Linked DNA regions of Arabidopsis thaliana. The protein of the gene in region 1 interacts with the protein of each later gene in a pairwise test. Each region holds a gene or a part of one and is shown on either strand. Other genes may lie near its edges.

Evidence for each region.
Region 2: the proteins of GUT2 (region 1) and PIN5 interact in a protein complementation assay, tested with the Arabidopsis thaliana proteins (one large-scale study listed by BioGRID).
Region 3: the proteins of GUT2 (region 1) and AOX1B interact in a protein complementation assay, tested with the Arabidopsis thaliana proteins (one large-scale study listed by BioGRID).
Region 4: the proteins of GUT2 (region 1) and AT1G30080 interact in a protein complementation assay, tested with the Arabidopsis thaliana proteins (one large-scale study listed by BioGRID).

What each region holds. Positions count from the first base shown.
Region 1 is NC_003070.9:9,528,234-9,533,508, forward strand, and holds GUT2 (Exostosin family protein), read right to left. Parts: upstream 3,257-5,275; 5' UTR 2,981-3,256; coding exon 2,887-2,980; intron 2,676-2,886; coding exon 2,287-2,675; intron 2,034-2,286; coding exon 1,792-2,033; intron 1,546-1,791; coding exon 1,032-1,545; 3' UTR 734-1,031; downstream 1-733. Other genes in the region: AT1G27435 (uncharacterized protein), read right to left, coding at 435-581; APT1 (adenine phosphoribosyl transferase 1), read left to right, coding at 3,809-3,968, 4,120-4,269, 4,360-4,470, 4,638-4,805, 5,132-5,275. UniProt on the Arabidopsis thaliana protein: Involved in the synthesis of the hemicellulose glucuronoxylan, a major component of secondary cell walls. Probably involved in the elongation of glucuronoxylan xylosyl backbone, especially in the formation of GlcUA side chain of xylans.
Region 2 is NC_003076.8:5,398,575-5,403,665, reverse strand, and holds PIN5 (Auxin efflux carrier family protein), read right to left. Parts: upstream 3,027-5,091; 5' UTR 2,932-3,026; coding exon 2,270-2,931; intron 1,762-2,269; coding exon 1,676-1,761; intron 1,583-1,675; coding exon 1,425-1,582; intron 1,271-1,424; coding exon 1,194-1,270; coding exon of another isoform or gene 1,190-1,193; exon of another isoform or gene 1,113-1,189; coding exon 1,040-1,112; 3' UTR 821-1,039; downstream 1-820. Other genes in the region: ZFN3 (zinc finger nuclease 3), read right to left, coding at 1-73, 172-229. UniProt on the Arabidopsis thaliana protein: Auxin transporter regulating intracellular auxin homeostasis and metabolism. Mediates the auxin transport from the cytosol into the lumen of the endoplasmic reticulum. May also act as an auxin efflux carrier when located to the cell membrane.
Region 3 is NC_003074.8:7,902,025-7,906,451, forward strand, and holds AOX1B (alternative oxidase 1B), read left to right. Parts: upstream 1-2,072; 5' UTR 2,073-2,131; coding exon 2,132-2,431; intron 2,432-2,514; coding exon 2,515-2,643; intron 2,644-2,725; coding exon 2,726-3,214; intron 3,215-3,300; coding exon 3,301-3,360; 3' UTR 3,361-3,552; downstream 3,553-4,427. Other genes in the region: AT3G22350 (F-box and associated interaction domains-containing protein), read left to right, coding at 1-1,017.
Region 4 is NC_003070.9:10,550,174-10,555,246, forward strand, and holds AT1G30080 (Glycosyl hydrolase superfamily protein), read right to left. Parts: upstream 3,123-5,073; 5' UTR 2,995-3,122; coding exon 2,922-2,994; intron 2,806-2,921; coding exon 2,463-2,805; intron 2,291-2,462; coding exon 1,567-2,290; coding exon of another isoform or gene 1,549-1,566; exon of another isoform or gene 1,145-1,548; coding exon 1,058-1,144; 3' UTR 682-1,057; downstream 1-681.

The DNA.
Region 1 (5,275 bases):
CCAAAATAGCTCGAAAATAACACAAGCATATTGAGAGATGGACAACCTTTGCATGATACCAAACACCAAACCGGGAAAAATGAATTCCAAGTGTTCCTACTCTGTTCCTAGTTCCACAGAAAGATACATAGAAGCCTAAAGGCCATATACCAAGAACAAACTACACAGTTGGCCTTGTCCTAACTCATTACATCTACTCAGACCTAAGGAGAGCACATCACAATAGACTGAACAACATTTTGCAATCGAAACTGATGATCTTGAAATGAATCCATCAATACTTTCAACACGAAAAATCCATCAATACATTCAATCCTAATCTATCCTTGGCGGGTAATTGTAGGGAAGTGAACGCAGATAAGAGGATCTAGACTACGAAAAGAGAAATGTTCTCTCAAAAACCCATAAACCCTAAAAATGGAATAGGAGAGTACCTGCCAAACACGACGGAGGCGGGTTTTGGCATTGGCTTTACGAGTAGGGGTTAGCTTGATCCGCTTCCAAAGAAGACCACCGGAATCGTGCTTCTTCACTAATTCCATCACTCGAGTTCCCCAAAACGCACCCATTCCTCCTCCCATGGCCGCCTCTCTCGTTCTCTCTCAAGAGCAAAGATCTTAGATTAGTTCGAGTTTTTCCTTCAATCAGCCCATTTAGTAGACTTTAGGCCCATTTCATCTACGAGCTTTTTTTGAATAAATAATTTTCTTTTTTAATAAGGATTCTAATTTGATTCACAACAAAATTAATTACCACATGTTTTCATAACTTTTCAGGTTATTGGACATTGAAACTTACATGATTGGAGTTAGCCAAGACAAAAGGAGTGTACAGTATTATATGATCAATCGAAGAGAAAATGTACAACAAACTTGGTACATGTACCTCGAGTAAATGTACTAATGTTATCTACAAAAAAAATCCACTCGGAGGACTTGGACTTCTAATGTTTTTGAAGTGCTATAGAAAGGCAACAACGTATGCTCTAGGTGAAACCCAAGATATACAAAAAGATTCCTCTCTTTCTGACTTTACCAAGGTTTCAGGTCAGCAACCGGACCAGCAGTCCAGTTCAGTGCCTTCTCACCTGTCTTCAAGTATATGCTTTTGTCGTGGGGTAACTTCCGAGCTAGCCCGTTAAGTATCTGATGGAATGCATCCCCTGGTTGTGCAGGTTGAGGGAAAAGCATGGCTCGTTTCATCGAAGGATTTGCGAGGAGTCTCTGTTTTCTGAGGATCACTTCTGTTGGTATTGAGGTTAGGATCGTGTCTAGTTCAGGGACGTCTTTTTCCGCAACAAAGACTCCTATTTCTTCCCAGGGGATGGCGTCTGCGAAAGGCAGTACTATGTCGTCTGCTATGATAACTGGAATGCACCCAAACACAACTGCTTCAACTAACCTAGGGCTCCATGGAGCCCATCCTAGAGGACATAGACAGAAGATGGCTCTCTGCATGTCTTCGTAGTATGTTGTCGGGTGATCTGTTGAGATGTCAAACAAAGGGTTGTTCTTGAAGTTCTCCCACACCGCTGCTCTTGCACCTCTATACAAAGAGAGAAGTTCCAGTCAGCAGATTCTAAAACAATTTGATCTTAGCTAACCTTATATATAACCTAACTTCCTAATGAGGAATGCTTAATTGTTATCTTAATAGGTAGATCTTGATGTATATGTGCTTCTTTTATTGTATGATACTATAGAGTTTGCAGTTCCATTTTGGTTGAAAAATCTATGTAAGACTAGAGAAAACTCATCACTTGAGAGTTTTACAAGTCTACAAAATATGTACCTTGCATAATATCCACCTTCGGGGTCGTTGTTAACATCATAAAATAAACCGCGGAAGTAGACAAAGATAGAGCGTGGAATATCTGGAGGAATAAAATGGGCCTGCATCTTCTGTGGAGGTGCAAAAGGAGGAATAGTGATCGAGCCTTCGTCCAAACAGACATGGTTCCTTTGACCAAATGTCTGAACCAAAGTGGCACGCTGGAGTAGTGGAAGTATCCCTCTTTCAATGGCTTTTTCCTCCTGTTTAATGTCAATCAAATCTTCAATTCCCACACAAATCATTGGAATATTCCACAATCTTATACAATAAACTCATAAACAGATTCTCAGTTTCCATGTAACTAAGTACTAATGTGATGATACAACAGCTAATTTTAAGCTAATGATCATCTATCATTGTAAGATCACAGGGTATTCTTGATGAACAGCAACCACCAAAGTATTCAATGCATATAAAAAATAGAGTTTGTTCCTGAATGCAGAGATAATCTACCTGATAATGGAAGCAAGCTCCAAAGTCATGGGGCACAACAAAGAAGTGATCAGCTCCTTCAGTCCGATTCCAATAAGGCCAATTTGATGAGATTAGTTGTATCGAACTTCTCATCATACGCGGCGATTTAAACGGTAATGGCAAGCCGGTAGGAGTGAGGTCGCAAGTAGGATAAATTGGCGTGTAAAACCAATCAGCTTCATCAGGATTACGCGTTCGAACAGGACTAGATAAAAGGAACCTGTGCATAAAAATCTCAGCAGCAAACATGTGTGTAAGACATCGAGGATCCTTTTGCAGTAATTTCTTGTTGTACTTGCTTGGAAGCTCATATACATAAACCTTAAGCTTTCCCACTGGATCATCCTCCAAAACATCACCAGCACTTCCTGCATTTCAAAAACACACCTTTTTGAGCTCTCTTACACAGCTGTTACATAGTTCCTCAATCAATAGCATTGACTTCTTAAGCAAATCAAATTATATGTCTATAAACCAAATGCTGGAGAAACGACAGATTTCAAACTTATTTGAGCGACCCTCAAGGATTAATCAATTCAACTCTACATTCCAATCTGCTGGAGCAAGAAGAACAAGTACCTGAAATTCGCTCTGTCCGAACATTTTGTTTAGCGGAAGAAGCAGAGAAGAAGAGGAACAGAAGAATGGCGGAGAGGCAAGAGTGGATTTTCATATCTACCGGAGATGTGTTTGAAGGTTTGGATCGCAGAAAGGAAGAAGGAAGAGGAAGAATATAAGGGAAGAGTATCGTTGGGAGGTCATGGGCGCAGTGGTTGACGAGTTTACTTCGGTATTAGGTTTTAGGGTTTATTTTATTCAGAAGGAAGACGTGAATGGTGAAAATGAAATAGAGTGTCGATGGAAAACGAAATTGGAGAAATAGCTTCAAGTCACAGATAAGTAAGAAATTGCTTGTGATGTACTTTTTTTTTCCTTGAATTCAACGACCAAAGACGGAAACTGGTGCACATCACAAGGCGCGTGCTATTATGGGCTGAGTTAATGTCCATTGGGCCTTGCTAACGTCCAACGTTGACTAGTTATAACTTCCGTAGTAGGTCATGATCGTTTTAGAGTGGCCACTATCAACAACTAGTTAACGACAACAATTTTTTATATATATGTTTTATAGTTGTTGGTAATACGACAATTATAGGTGACATAATTCATTGATTAGCGATTAATATATTTGAGATCACTGTAAAAGAAGTACTATGATTCAGTTTTTGATCGTTTTATGTCATTAGCAACGATGAAATGAACATTGTTATATATCTCTAAATGTAACCATAACATTGTGGATAATAATCTGTTGGAGTGTGAACACTCTGAAAGATTCTAAATCATCCAATTTTATGTGAAGAAATATGTAGAAAAAACAAACAATGGATGAGTTATAGGTTTGGTTAAGACTTGAAAAGTCATTGATCACGGCTTTTGTCCATTATTCCGTGTTTAAAGTAATTTACATTCTCTTTTAAGATCTCTCAGTCCAAAGACAATGCAAACAATAATAATTTCTCCACTTGTTTCTCATCGTCTCTGTCTTGCTCGTGCTGTTCCTTGCAACCGTCTTCTCAACAACCACCACCGTGCTCCTCCTTCGATCCGCCTCTCAAACCACCGTTCAACCACCTCACTCCGCCTCTTCTCCTCCGCCGGTAGACCCCACCACCTTCTATTTCCCTTTTAAACTTTTTGTTTCCTTTTGAAAAAGATATTTTGCTTGCGTGGGGCAATTCCGTCAAAGCGTTACCATTCGGGATAAATTGGTCATTTTTTCATCACTGTGTCTCTCTATTGAGTCTTTAGGGTCTCTCTGTGTTTGCAAATCTGACGCCGAGTATTTTGCTAAAGCAGCAGCCAGTCGGGACAGTGAAATGGCGACTGAAGATGTGCAAGATCCCAGAATCGCTAAGATTGCCTCTTCCATTAGAGTCATCCCCGACTTCCCTAAACCAGGTCTCCATTTTTTCCATTTATACCGATTAATATCGTCTCTAGTCTTGATCTGCGTTGGGATCTTAAGGTTTTAATTTGGATACTTGGCAGGAATCATGTTTCAGGACATAACGACGCTTCTTCTCGACACTGAGGCCTTTAAGGATACTATTGCTTTGTTTGTTGATAGATACAAAGATAAAGGCATATCTGTTGTTGCAGGTAACAACTCGTATGGTTCTGTTTGGTACTCCAATCGATTAACAGCTTGTGGATTTAGTTTCTTTTGGCCTTTTTAGATACTGAGTGCTTTAGCTTAAACTGAAAAGTTGAAATGAATTGGTGGATGATTTTTGGTTCTGCCTAAATTGATGTTGTGGTAAATGCAGGTGTTGAAGCTAGAGGTTTCATTTTTGGCCCTCCTATTGCGTTGGCTATTGGTGCCAAATTTGTTCCCATGAGGAAGCCCAAGAAGCTACCTGGTACATTTTTATTTCTTCCTCTAGTTGCTTGTGATTTTGACATTAAGTTACATGAAAGGTCTCAATTAGGAAGTTGTTAGTTTAAATGGCTTCTTGCTCCAAGTCTACACTTTATCATTATCTCGAACATTAGCAAGGTGACTTTTATCTTGCAGTGTCTTTGATCAATATGATGCTACTCATTTGCTAGATCATTTTTCTTTGTGGTAACTTGCAGTAACTTAAGTGGTTGTTATTTTTTCTGTTACATATCAATGGACTTAGTTGTGTATCTTGACCAGTTACAAGAAATGTATTAAGCCATTTGGAAACTTATGAGCAGTGTCAAATAATTGTCGCATTCCTTGTTTATCCATGGACGTTAATTTCTAAACTGCCTCTGCATTTGGTTCCTTTAACAGGGAAGGTTATTTCGGAGGAGTATTCGTTGGAGTATGGAACAGATACGATTGAGATGCACGTAGGTGCAGTAGAGCCTGGTGAGCGTGCTATTATTATTGATGACCTCATTGCCACGGGTGGGACTCTCGCTGCTGCAATCCGAC
Region 2 (5,091 bases), on another chromosome or scaffold:
CCGTGACGTTCCGGATAAGACCCATCAACACCCATTGTATCATCTGATCCCAAGTTCATTTGCCACATTGCATCTAAAATTCACAAACCCAACCAAAACCCCACAACAAAAATTCAAGCTGAGGTTTTTAAGATTGAATCAGAACATCAGAGAGGGAATAAAGGATGGTACTTTGGTTAAGCAATGGGGAAAGAAAAGTGCTTTCCCGAGAAATGGAATCAAAATCCATGGAGATGATGAAGAACAATGGCTGTGTCGGTGATTATTAAGCATTAAGAACACACCATAATTCTCTCACTCTAAGAGATTTTCCGATGGGAAGTCCCATCGTTTCTCTTGCTCCCAGGAATCGTCTTCCTCCGATTGTGGAGGGGTTAGAGGAAATGGCAATGCAGGAAGACATTAGAGAATTAGAGATCACGTCTAGAGAGAGAAAGCAGAGAGAGATTGGGAAGAAAGTGTTGCGTTCTCTTCTCTCCTCCACACAAAAGAAAGAAAAAAAACTAAAGAGATTCGGTAAGAAAAACGAATTCGAAAAGACTAAATTACCCCTTTTATCTTCATATTGATTCGGTTGAGGAGAAAGAATAATTTATTTCATAAATCCTGATTTGGTTAGTATGTATGATCATGAATCAAATAATAACAAGATTTTATTTGATCTCTAACCTGAATTTCGTTTCATTTATTCTTTTTTTTTTTTTGTTAACAAAAAAAGGGCTTATAATATTTAGTGTACGTATTAAAACAATTTTAGATCCGAACATGATGTATTTTCATTTATAGAGTTTTTATCTTTTCTTGATACGTATATGTGAACAAAATACTAAATTATGCATACTACGAAAATAAAGAGAGCTTAAGAAAGTATAAAATTAAGCATAAACTAGGTTAATTCATTCAGTTAATGGTTTTCATATCTCGAATATACTTCAAAATCTCCTTTAGGAGGAAAGTGTAAAAGAGATAACAAAAAAAAAAACTTGTGAAAGATGAACAAAGGGTAATATTGATGATATAATCGAATTTATTAGTTTAATCAATGAATAAACTCCAGAGCTGCGTAGTAGGCGACGAGCACAGGTAGAGAGACCAACATCCCAAATATCACCCTACATTTATCAAAATTTTAATTTAATTTCATATTACCATTTTCTTCTTAAATAGACTGAATTTTTAAAATTTGGACTTACGCTGTGCTTAGAACATCTGCATGTAATCCATATTCCTTAGCAAAAATGAACGAAGTAATCGATTGTGGCAAAGCAGCCTGTAAATTTCATATAAATATTAATGATATATTAAACTGAAAAATATAAAGTTAGTATCTTAGTGGATGAATGAATGGAAAATGATCTACTTTTTTTTTTATATACAAACTTCAGTAGAATTAGGGTACAAAAGGATAAAGTAGAATTTATGACCTGAATGATGGCTACGCGGAGGACATCACCGTGGAGGCCAAGGACAATAGAGCCGATGGCCATGGCCGCCGGTCCGGCAATAAACTTCAATACCATTCCCATCACAGTCAAGCTTGTTCCACATACTATCAACTTTTCTTGAAGTGCCATGAATATTCCTGCGTATATATGCATGTATTCACTGTTATCTCAATACTGATACGTAATCTTTACGTATAGAAAGATACTTGCATGGACATAAATAAACGTACCCATATTGAACATGGCCGTTCCTGTTCCTGCTTTTGACATTATAAGAATCGAACCCTCTAATATGCCCGGCAGCTCCAGATGCCATCTATATTTCCAATTAATTTCCATCAATTATTAGACTTAAGTCTTTATTTGTTAGCCAAGAGTATACAAAACACTAATCAAAACCCTAAACCCAAAATTCACACTAAAACAAATAAAATAGAAATTTGGTCAAAGACTCTAATATTCAGATTAAAATCATGATTAGTTTATTTGCATGTACATGTCACGTTTGCAAATTATGTTACCATGTTAAAAATGTCCTAGTCATTTGTCACATGGAAATATAAACGCAAATGCAAAGAAACAATCGTGACCTATATTTCTGTCAAAATTTTAACTATAGATCATCAGGCGCTACACAGAAAAGTAATAATTTAGATGGTTTAAACGTCAAACTATAGATATTTTTAGGCAATTTTAACGGTTGCCTCGGAGTAAGGGGTGGAATTAATGTAGTCTCCTGAGTCCCTGATCACACATACTAATTAACACTTTGTTAAACATCTTATAGGTACCAATATAAAGTTTAATTAAAGATTCATTTTTACCTGTTAGAAATAAAAGCCCATGCGATCCCAAGGATGCAAGAATAGCAATTTGGATTCGTTGCAAGCTTCAACCAAACGAGGGACATGACCTCAAGGAACGACTTCTCTCCCACAACCACAGTTTCTCTTTTTCCACTTTCGATATTGATGTTGTCTACTTGTACGTCGCTGATATTATTACTACTAAATCCGGCTTTTCTAAACTCTAAGACAAACAACAAGAGTGTGAGCCACACGATGGCTTGAAATACCGAGGATTGAACCACCAGATCAACAGCCTGTTGTCCGTACATTGCCTTAGCCAATGGCACACCAACGACAAGAGAGTTAGTAAGAGTGCATAGAGAGAAACTAGTAATGGACCAACAATAGCTTCCTTTGTTGCTATATTTGGCCCACAACGCTAAGACCGTGACTATGATGACCTTAGAGAGGACATCGGCCGCGATGAACCGGTAATTCATGTTGAACGGGTCGACATGGGCCGTGAACTCAATGGTGAAGAGCGGCAGGGTGAAATAGCAAACGAGACGGTTTATAGCATCACATTGATCACGCGTGAAGATGTGCCACCATTTCACAGAGCCATAGCCTAAGATTAAGGCTACATAGAGTGGAACCATTGCTTCGATTACCTTGTAAACATCTCCACAATTTATCATGGTTTTATCAGAAAAATAGAAATGTTGCAGTAGTAGCAAACGAAAGGAAAGAAAACAAAGCTTCTAAATTCGTTCGTAGATAGTAAATGTGTTACGATAGAGAAACCAACATGTTCATATTTATAGATAAATTTTTAATTGTTTTATTTGTTGTAGAAAAAAGATAGGTAATGAGATATCCATGAGTAATATTCAAACAAAAGTAAAGTTTAGATATAAATTAAACAATAATATTTTTTTCTTCGGAATATGATTACGAATATTTATAAATAATTTGGCTAAATTCCTATAGAATAGATACAATTGAAATTTGAGTCTAAATATTTAGATAAAAAAATTAAAATCAACCTCATATTTTTAGCCATTAGTTTAATTGAGAAACAAGAGAGTTATCGTTATCAATATAATTGACCAGACCGTGCCGTGGCATATGATTCTATTCCAATTGTTTCCTGTAAATAGTGAGTGTAGTGTTTGTGTATGACGTAAACATTTCTTTCAATATTTGACTATATTAATTAATGGTAATGTCGCAGAATAAAGAATGAGGTTGCAGCTTTAGCACCATAACTAGAAGATCGTCTCGACCAATATATGTTTTTGGCTGTCGTAACTCGTCGCCACAACACATGAGACTAACCAAATAATATATTTTCAATAATTTATTCGAAATATTTGCTTAATCGTTTTTTTCTTAATCTTAATATTTATATTTATTAACCACTTTCATAAAATGGGAGCAGAACTATGCTAGTGCATGTAATATAAGTAAAGTGCATGGAATAGTTTGTATATATGCCGAAATGGGTATTTGTGCCCTACGACCTGGCGATAGCAACCAATTTCATAACCGACAAAGAGAGATTTCTTATAAGAAAATGAATTTCACTTACTTATACCTAGTGATGATTTGAATGTTTCAATATATTCATGGTTTAAGAAATAACATGTCATGGGTTTTAGAATATGTTAATATATAGATAGATAGAGAAGTCTACAAATAACTTACTTACTTTTATCTTAAACCATGTTTTACGTTGTTTTTTATGTTTCGTTCGATAAAAAATCATATGGCCATGTCTTTCTTCTTTGTTAAAATATCAAAGAACCATATTATACTACGAGCTAGCGAAAAATCTATCATCGTGAGGATTGAGGAAGCCATTCAAGAACTACAAAAGTTTACAGAAAAATTTGTACCTCGTGCTCTTGTCCTTTCTTGCTAGACAACAAATTTATTATTTGCCTTCTGGACTCTAATATAATCACAACAACACATATTGCTAGGTGCAATATCATCATATTAGCACTTTTTAATTCTATGGTATATTTTTGTTTTGTAACCATATATATTGTCCATTCACAAAGTCTTTTCTATTACACATATTCATGATGAGAAAATTGATTTGATCTAATTACTAGAGAATCATGCAGAGGCATAAAATGATCTGGAAAGCATTTATTTATCATTTGATTTGATAATAACATTTTATGGAAACACCTATCTTTACCAAAGATTTGGAACAAATAGAAAAACATAAGCAAACAAATATATATAGTCGGACTAAAACAAAAACAAAAAGGGGGATTTGACTGATGGAACAAAAGTTAAAATCGGTGGATTAGAAATCTGTGAAAACGTGGAGGATGCTTATTCACTGGTGAAATTGAGGGATCATATATAAATATGAATAATAATGCTAGTAGAATAAGTTCTATTTATCACTTGATGATTACAAATCTATAATATGCTTTCAAATTTCTCTCCTGATGTGTTGATATATATTACAGTCTTTTTAATATCAAAAAGGTTTTTGTCTTCTCTCATTCATTCATTCATCGTTAATACTTTTGTTTTTGTGTGACATATTTTCATTATTCTTCTTGAATTATGTCAGAAATAGCTAGCTAGCACGATTGGAAAGTTTATTCAAAATCCATCTTATTTGTTTTGTACTTTTGACGTCATGAATATTATGTTGATGTTTTTTCCCAAACCACAAAAACAAAACAATCAAAGTTTTTCAGACCAGAAAACACTATATGTTGGGGTTTATACTGTTCTTCCTAAATTAGAGTTCGAATTCAAGAGTAGTGATCATATAACTTTCGTTTTCCTTTCAATCTTTCATAAACGAATCCAAGTACCAAGTTAAATGC
Region 3 (4,427 bases), on another chromosome or scaffold:
AGCCAGAAACACTTTCATATAGCTCCAAAGGAGTCTATGGTTCTCATGTTGAAGGAGTACAGAGTTTGCTCAATGAATATCAATCTCAATGTTTCTCCTCCATCTGTAGAGTTTCAAGGTACACTTGGCATAAAAGATGATTCCCATTCTAATTTAGGACAAGTCGAGATAGTCGAAGTTTATCACTGTGATGGTTTGTTGTTATGCGCCACCAGGGACAATAGACTCGTGGTTTGGAATCCGTGTTTGGGGGAAACCAGGTGGATCCAACTCAAAGATGAATGCAGGAGATACTCTACGTTTGCTCTAGGATACGAAAACAACAAATTTTGTCGTCGTAACTACAAAATCTTGAGGTATTGGGGTTGGTTTCACGATCACATACCAGACGACGGCGGACGTTTCAGGTTTGAAATATATGACTTTAGATCTGATTCATGGAAGGTTCTTGATGACGTCCCTGATGACCGCTTCCCACCAGTAAGTGTCGTGTCTTTAAAGGGAAACACTTACTGGTTTGGTTCTAATAAAAAGGACTTCTTACGTAGTTTTGATTTTACAACAGAGAGATTTAATCATATTGGTCTTCCGCCATCTCGAGATCATGGTTTTATGGCTCTATCAGTTGTTGGAGAAGAACAACTCTCAGTGTTACAAGAGATTGAGACATCAAAGATGGAGATATTTGTAACCAATAAAGTTGGTACTGAAGAAGCTGCTTTGTTGTGGAGCAAATCCTTTATAGTGGATTTACCCATTGGCGGTCATTGTTCTGAGGTTTTCGCGAGTCTTTTAATCAACGAGGAGAAGAAAGTGGCCTTGTGTTGTAATTTAGATTTCGAGACCGACGGGAACTTGATATTCACTATTGGAGAAGACAATAAATATTACTCAGAAATCCCTTATGCTACAAACAAGCCATGGTGGTTATGTAGATTTTCTGAAAAATTTACAAAAAAATGGTGGTGGTTTCCATTTATTTACAATTATGTTCCAAGTTTGGTTCAAATCTTGTAAGAGAGATAGAGAGTAAAAAAGAGAAGAAAAAAAACTAGTCGATAAAAATAAGATACACTAGTCCTCTCTCATTTGTTTTCCCTTTGGTTGAATAATTTAATGAAAGTTTTTTGGTAGTTTATTCTTTTTCTTCGTGTTGTATAGTTTATGATTCTTACCTTTGAGAGCCTGCTCTAGGCTGGATTTCAGAAACAAATGACAATCATCTTGTTATCACTCTGTCTGGAGAGGTTTCGATCATCGCTAGCGGAATCAAAAACCCGAGGATATCCTACTTCGACATCGTCAAGATGGATTCAAAATCATCAAATTGGGGGGAAAATCGATTTTATTGCGAACATTTTGGGTAAATTTTAGTAATGATCAGTTTCATAGATACACTGAGATTCGTCTATATTGTTTGAATGGTGGCGGCGGTCGGGATGGACAAATCCACTCAGCAGTTTAGTTTGCTCTATTTTTAGGATGGATAACAAACCGATGTAGATCAACTCTATTTGTATATATAAGCACAATTCTATGAATGGTAAATAACTACAGACACAATTTATGAATGGTAACTAAATATCGGTCAAGTCCATAAACGGATTTGTCCGCCTTAACCGCTGCAACCATTCAGACCCTATGGTTTGAAACAAGTAATTGCGTCCATGATATTCAAACCGAGAAGGTTGTCCAATGGTTTCAACAGTTTGCGACACAGTTATTGTTAGATACATCAAAGAAACTATAAGACACTACACAAATACGTCTCTGTTTTGGAACAGAGGATTTTTTTAACTTTTTAATTATATTAATCTAATTAATCAAAACATGAATTAAAACGGCTGACGAATATCACCAGCCAAGTCTATAGAAAAAAGATTATTACTACAAGCTTTTACTTAAAAAATGTCCACAGTTTTTGAGCATAAACTTGCGGATTAGTTTGTCTTTTCGTGTGCTACAAGTCTTTTAGTCAAATTAGACGAATTTTACGCTTTCTTGTATACATTGATCCTAGAGTTCCGTAATTGCTATAAATAGATGTCAGTTTAGGAGTTACCAAATGCAAAAAAACAAAAAAAAAACACTATCATTAATCAAGTTCCACTGTTCATTTTCGATCTGCATAATGATGATGAGTCGTCGCTATGGAGCCAAGCTAATGGAAACTGCTGTGACTCACAGCCATCTTTTGAATCCTAGGGTTCCTCTCGTGACGGAAAATATTAGGGTTCCGGCGATGGGAGTCGTGAGAGTTTTCAGCAAGATGACATTTGAGAAGAAGAAAACTACGGAGGAGAAAGGATCTAGCGGTGGCAAGGCTGATCAAGGTAACAAAGGGGAGCAATTAATCGTTAGCTACTGGGGAGTGAAGCCGATGAAGATCACCAAAGAAGATGGAACTGAATGGAAATGGAGTTGCTTTAGGGTACATTACATCTTTGGTATTATATTAGAACTCTGTGGTCGATTTATATGTATGATTTGAGTTTTTGTGTGGAATAACTGTAGCCATGGGAGACATATAAATCAGATCTGACTATAGATTTGAAGAAGCATCATGTTCCATCGACTTTACCGGACAAACTAGCTTATTGGACCGTGAAATCTCTTCGATGGCCTACCGATCTTTTCTTCCAGGTGACAGTCTTAGCTTTCTATGGTTTTGTCATTTCAAATGCTTTGTATGTTTGGACTAATCTTGCCAACGAGTTAACCGCAGAGGCGGTACGGATGCAGAGCAATGATGCTAGAAACGGTTGCAGCGGTTCCAGGAATGGTTGGAGGGATGTTAGTACACTGCAAATCGCTTCGACGGTTTGAACAAAGCGGTGGTTGGATCAAAGCCCTACTTGAAGAAGCAGAGAACGAGAGAATGCATTTAATGACATTCATGGAAGTCGCGAAACCTAATTGGTACGAACGAGCTCTTGTGATTGCCGTTCAAGGCATTTTCTTCAATGCTTATTTCCTTGGATACCTAATTTCTCCCAAATTTGCTCATCGTATGGTTGGATACCTTGAGGAAGAAGCAATCCACTCTTACACTGAGTTTCTTAAAGAACTCGATAATGGTAACATCGAAAATGTGCCTGCACCGGCTATTGCCATTGATTACTGGAGACTTGAAGCTGATGCGACGCTTCGTGATGTCGTCATGGTGGTCCGTGCTGATGAAGCGCATCACCGTGATGTTAACCACTATGCATCCGTAAGTAGTGTGAATTGTATTATAGGAAACTTACTTATGTTTAAAAGATGATTAGATTGTTTTCATGGTTTTAATAAAAATTGCAGGATATTCATTACCAAGGTCGTGAGCTAAAAGAAGCTCCAGCTCCCATTGGATATCATTGAATCTGAAGAGCTTCTAGCTTTGTTTTGTCGTTTTGATACGGTCCAGTTTTGTTTTCCTTGTTCCTAAATGGGCTTTAATGGGTATTTGTTAAAATTTAGTGGGCCTTAGAGTAAGCTTATTTGTGCTTGCTTTCTTTTTGCTTCATAAAAGAGTGTTTTGTTTGTTTTCATTCTCCTAATAAATCAGTGCTTACATGATATGTTTACATATACACTTAGGCTAGAAATAAAACTTTACAAACCCAAGGCTTTGAAGTTTGAATATAACCATAGATATGTCCATTAAACCCCACTAAAATGAAGTAGGCTTGAATCCATCATATATAAATGTTAAATTAATAGGGGTGGGAAAAAAAACGAAAACCGAAAAACCGAACCGTACCAAACCAAAACAAATGGTTTGGTTTGGTTATGGTTTTGTATAAAAACCCATTTGATTGTAATTTTTATTTAAGTTTTGGTTTAGGTTTGGTTTGATTAAAAACCGTAAAACCGAACGTTTTTTTTGTTTTTGATTTAAATTAAAAATAATTGTATATATATATATATAATGTTCATTTGATAACATGATATCTATCAAACTATCGAAAAACAAAACCCTAACTGTAACCTAAACTAAAATTCTATATAAATTACATGCCGTCATTTAGGATTTGAGTTTACAAATTAGATTTTGATTTTATTTATGCATCACACTTATAATTTTTTTTGGTAAAAACATGAAAAAACCGGAACCAAACCGGAACCGATCCGAACCAAAATACATATGGTTTTTAAATGGTTTTAATTTTTTAAAACCAAAAACTGTAAAACTGTTAAAACCGAACCGTAACCAAACCGAATTTTATATGGTTTTTATATGGTTTTACTTTTCTTAAAATCGAAAAACCGTAAAACCTAAAACCGAAACGAAACCAAACCGAAAAACTGAACACCCAGCCCTTAAATATAATGAAAATCGAATAAATTTGTTTGAAAGAATCGAACAAAATTGACAATAAAATCTAATTAGGACTATTTTCGTCTAATTTTGACTTAGTTGAAACAGAATATTAGCAAAAATACTA
Region 4 (5,073 bases), 1.0 Mb from region 1:
TTGATAATTTTTAACTTCTTCTTTCTCTCCCGTTAGAAAAATGGAGCATTCCTCTTTTACATCAATTGGTGAATTAATGAGTATCCACCACACATATGACATATACACATATTCATACATGTAAGATGTGTCATGTATGCATGTATGAGTAGTGTCATGTGTGTGCACGTACGAAGCCATACCACATATACATGCAGATATAATGCATGCATGTGTAAGAGCAGACAATATATTAAAATATCGAATGTTGACGGTGAGATGGAAAAGGAAGGTATCGTATGTCTAAGGTTTATGGATTCCACGTCCAAAAGATAAAAGGTAAAAGATAAAAGAGCCTTCACCTTCGGTGTGACCAATCAATAAATTTCTATATAAAATATATGATATCATCTTTCTTTTTTTCTGTTTCTGTTAAACGATATCTGATGATAACATTATATATCATGTACTTTAAAGTAATATTTGGAGCGTTGAAAATGACAATATTTTCTGCTTAGTAATAATTATTATTATATTCTATGCTTCTCGTAAAAGTAGTACTATATGGGGTCTTCTTTATATCTAGAGTAATTTCTTTAGCTTTCTGAAATATGATTCATATGTAGTACATAATGTGAAATCAAACATTTTAAATGAAATTATGCAATGAATGTGGTTACTAAAATGCCTCAAATGAAATTGTATCCTTTGGATTTAAACAATAAACACGATCGTTCTTATATGATTCATGAATCATTATTGTATACGAATCATTATTGTATACCTTATCAGTTGATGATTAATTTTAGTCACTTTTTATTTAGACAACGAAAGTAATTAACACGTTAGTAAGACAAATACAAATAAAGTTCTATAATATGAATCGTCAGTTTTTTATACATAGGATTCGCTTTGCAGTACTGCATTCCCTTCTCAATTTTTCTGAGTGTTTTTTTCCCCTTTTAAAGAATCATCTGAGACACTTTCGAGAATAATTTAATTCTTCTCGTTGAAAAATTGGACCGCATTAGTGGACTCTCTATTTACACTTAGAAGCTCTCTCAATTTGTTTTTGCTTCTAGTACGATCTTCTAATTAGCATGTGAATGGCCAACAAATAAACGCATGTCCAATACATCAACCGTTGCTTTCCCTTCTTTAAAGCCTGTTTAAATTAAAATATCATAATAAGCAATAATTAAGACCGCAAATTTTTAATTAACTAATATGTATCTAAAAATCAGATGGTGAGGATAATCATAAATATCATGTACTAATCATATCGCTCCAAAAAAAATGTATACTTTATCGCTATTAATCAAGAAATATGTTAAAATAAATATGTTTGGTAAGAATATGTTCTAGAAAAGCCGAACTTTTCAAGTATAAAACGTCACAATTAGAAGAAAGAAACGTCACAATTCTCTTCTTTTTTAGACAACAGGTCAGAATTTGTTTTAAAAATGTTTCTCAATCAAAGCTTTTTTCAAGGGATTTAATGTGCTATATAAAGATTAAAAAGAAAGAAATATGGAAGTAAGAGATCTAGTAGAAACAGAGCAAGTAAAGTTAAATGTTGATACATACCGTGGAGGCAGAGGAAGTGAGGGAAATAATAGAAGTTGAAGAAGTAGTTGATGTTGATGTTAATGATGACGACGATAATAAACCTACATTGTAAGTCATGGTCTCATCAGGCTGATACAATCCATAATTCCTCTCAGAGGTTGGTCCTGGTTTAAGGTCTTCATTGAAAAGAGCAAATAGATAAACATCAAAACTCAAGTTTGGTCTCAATGGCGTTCCTTCATTTTGAAGTTGTCTCCTTAGAATATTTTTGTTATAAACGGCTGCGTTGGCCACAGTGGCTCCAACCTCATCTCCATCGCCTTTAGACGGCCATCCAGTCTCCGAGACCCCAACTTCGATGTCTTTGAAGCCAAGCCTCGCCATGGCAAAGATCACAGCGTCTACTTGAGCGTAGAGCATGTTGTCATAGCGGTACTTGGTATAGGGGTCAACCATTCCAGGGTTAGGGTTGAAGAGGACGTAGTCTAATGGGATCTTTGTTGGGGAATCCTTGTAAGCGAAGTAAGGGTAAGCGTTGATCCAGAAGGGGGAATTCGTGTTACGCAAGAAACCTAGTAGCTGTGTCATTACGCCAGCTACTTCCGGCCTAAAACATCCGGCGGATGGAGGGTAAGATTCTTGAAGGACGGATAGTGAGTTCGGAGTCGATACTTGAATGTACTTGTCTAGTCCGGTTTGGACCAAAGCCCCATGAATGCTCATCATTGCAGGCATAAGATACCTGCGAATCATAGCAATAACGAGGTTGAATACTTTCTTCTTTTTTTGAACTAGAGGATCTCAGGATGATACCCACATGACTACCATGATTTGGTTAGTAGGGCATATTTGTAATGGACCAAGATTTGAAAAGGATAACAATTTATAGGAATGAGGGGATGTATGTAACAAACCCTATAAGGCTTGAGTCATCGTCAGTGTATAGTTCGTTGCCGACGGCGATACCACCGATCTTGGTGGCCGGAAAGTAGGGTTTGATACGGGTAGTGACCCATTGGAGAGCTTGTTGAGGGTCTACTAAGCTGGGAAGCATTTCATTTTCGACGGTGACAAAGAGCTCGATATTGGAATTGGCAAATGAGGTTAACACTCGAGGGTTTGTGTCATAGATTCTTGTCTTATTGATATGGAGTGAACTCAAGAGTTGTAGAACTTTGTCCGGTGGAGGAAGATTGTCGCCGACTTGACCATAGTTGATGCCAAGAGAGGAGACCCTTTGAAACAACAATCCATGTTCTGTGAAAAAAATGTAAGAGAAATTTAAATAATTAAAGTGTAATGACAAACTGAAATTGAGATAATGAATTTTGTTTGTTGGTAGACAGAAATAAGCAATTATTCAAAAACGATACCTAAGAAAGTCAAGGAAAATAGAAGAAGAACGATAGAGTTGGTCATGGCAATTCTGCTAAACATGTTAGACATGGAGAAGAGAGAAAGAGGGAGATAAAGACTGAGGGAGAAAGTGCTTGTAAGAGAATCAATGCAATGAAATGTGGGGATAGATATAGAGATGAAGAATTGAGAAATGGGACCAAGTAGGCGACGAATAATTATTAATTTATAATTTAGAGATAATACTTTACTTTGCCTGCCTTTGTTTTATGGTGAGACATAGGGTTTCTACAATAAAAGTGACAATATGATTAATTCCAAAAATAATTCAATAAGTTATTTAAATTTATACTCGTTAGTTTTGTAATGGGAGTAGGTTTGGCAATAGGTTTATCTTATGGAAGTCTATTGTAAAAATAGATAGTGTTTGCCAAAAACATTCTTTGTGAGGCAACATGGGTTTCATAAAACATTTTGGACCCAAGAAGAAAAAAATATGACATCTTAGATTGTCTCTTTCCAACACATTGCCAACTATGTCAGTCCAAAAAAAAAAAAAAATGAAAAAGTGGCCTAAAAGAAGACACTTTCTTCAGACAAAGGCAAAGGTGGGAAAAATTGAATTGCCCACTATAATAGGTTTTTAATCTTAACAATATGTCTATTAAACACAAAGAAAAAAAAAACATTATGTCTTTGGCATAGAATTTGGAGGATCCCAAATTTGGTAGTTGGGTGAACCAAAAAAATGGAACGTAAAGAGTAGAAATCACACCATCATAATGATAAGAAGGATAGTGCGCTTATCTTCAGTTTATTATATTTATATAGTATTGCAATTTGCATCTTGTGAAATAAAAGCTCTTTTAAAAAACATTGTAACGATTGTTAGAATTGTATTTCACGTGAAATTATAGTATGACCCTCAGTTAATCCTATATTTGATATTCAACGGAGTTTAGTCGCATATTTAAAACTGATCCTACGTTTCAATTCAGAATTTATATACCGTTAGCTTACATGTAAAAGTAAATATTTCTAAATTCAACCTAACTCATCTAGTCAACCCGCTCGATCACAAAAAAAATTAGGTTGCACAACGGTTCATTATTTATGTTTTAGATGAAATAAAATAAATTAATTACTCGATTAATCAATCAATGGAAAAAAACGGTTTTAAACAAGTTTACAAAAAGAAAAGTTAATCAAAGTTGATATGTAAATTTACAGCCTAATTGGCCCTAGCCAATAATTTAGTTGTCTGAAACAATTTTTTTTTTCTTTCAGTTTGATATTAAAACAATAAAAGCTCTAACTATACACCAGGTGATAATTGTAATTCAACTTCATTTTGTACAGATTTTTGGAAGTTTGGGTTGTTACTTTTCTTATAGAACGGACTTCTTACTACAGTATAACCTCTATAAATTAATAACCTTTATAAATTAATAAATTCTTCCGGTCCCGAGTTGGGACTAGTGTAAAAAATGACACAAATCGATAAATTAATAAGATAATAATTTTTTGGAAAGTTCTATGTAAATATATGGTCTCATCGATATCATAAATTAATAATTGTATAAATATATCAACTATATATATATATTATATGTAAAAAATTTCTTTAAAATATATTTATAATAATTTTTTGTTTAAATTCATATTTGTTATTTGTTTGATTATAGTTTTCATATTTTACTATACCAAAACTTTTGTTATTTGTTTAATAATGTTTTCTAGACATTATTATTATGTTTTATTTGTAACTGGTTCTAGAAATATATTTTTTATAATGAAAAAAATCTTATAAATTTTTTTAAAAAGTTACCAAATTAAGAAAATCTCTCTATAAATTAATAAATATTAATTTATCAATAAATTAATACCTCTCTAAATTAATAAAATTTTGCAGTCCCAAATAGAGGTTATACTGTATATCGGATATTGATTAATTTCTGAAAATTTCAAATATATTAAATGGAATAGAGATCTGAAAACATATGTAAAGTAGCCTGCTTTATGAAATGATGCAACAAAAGTGACCCAATTTTATTTTTTTCGTAACCAACCCAAGAATCTAGTAACTTTTTTGTTTTTGCTAAACAAGAATCTAGTAACTTTTGGAAGATGAATTTCACTATAACGATACTTGTTTATTTGTTACATCCT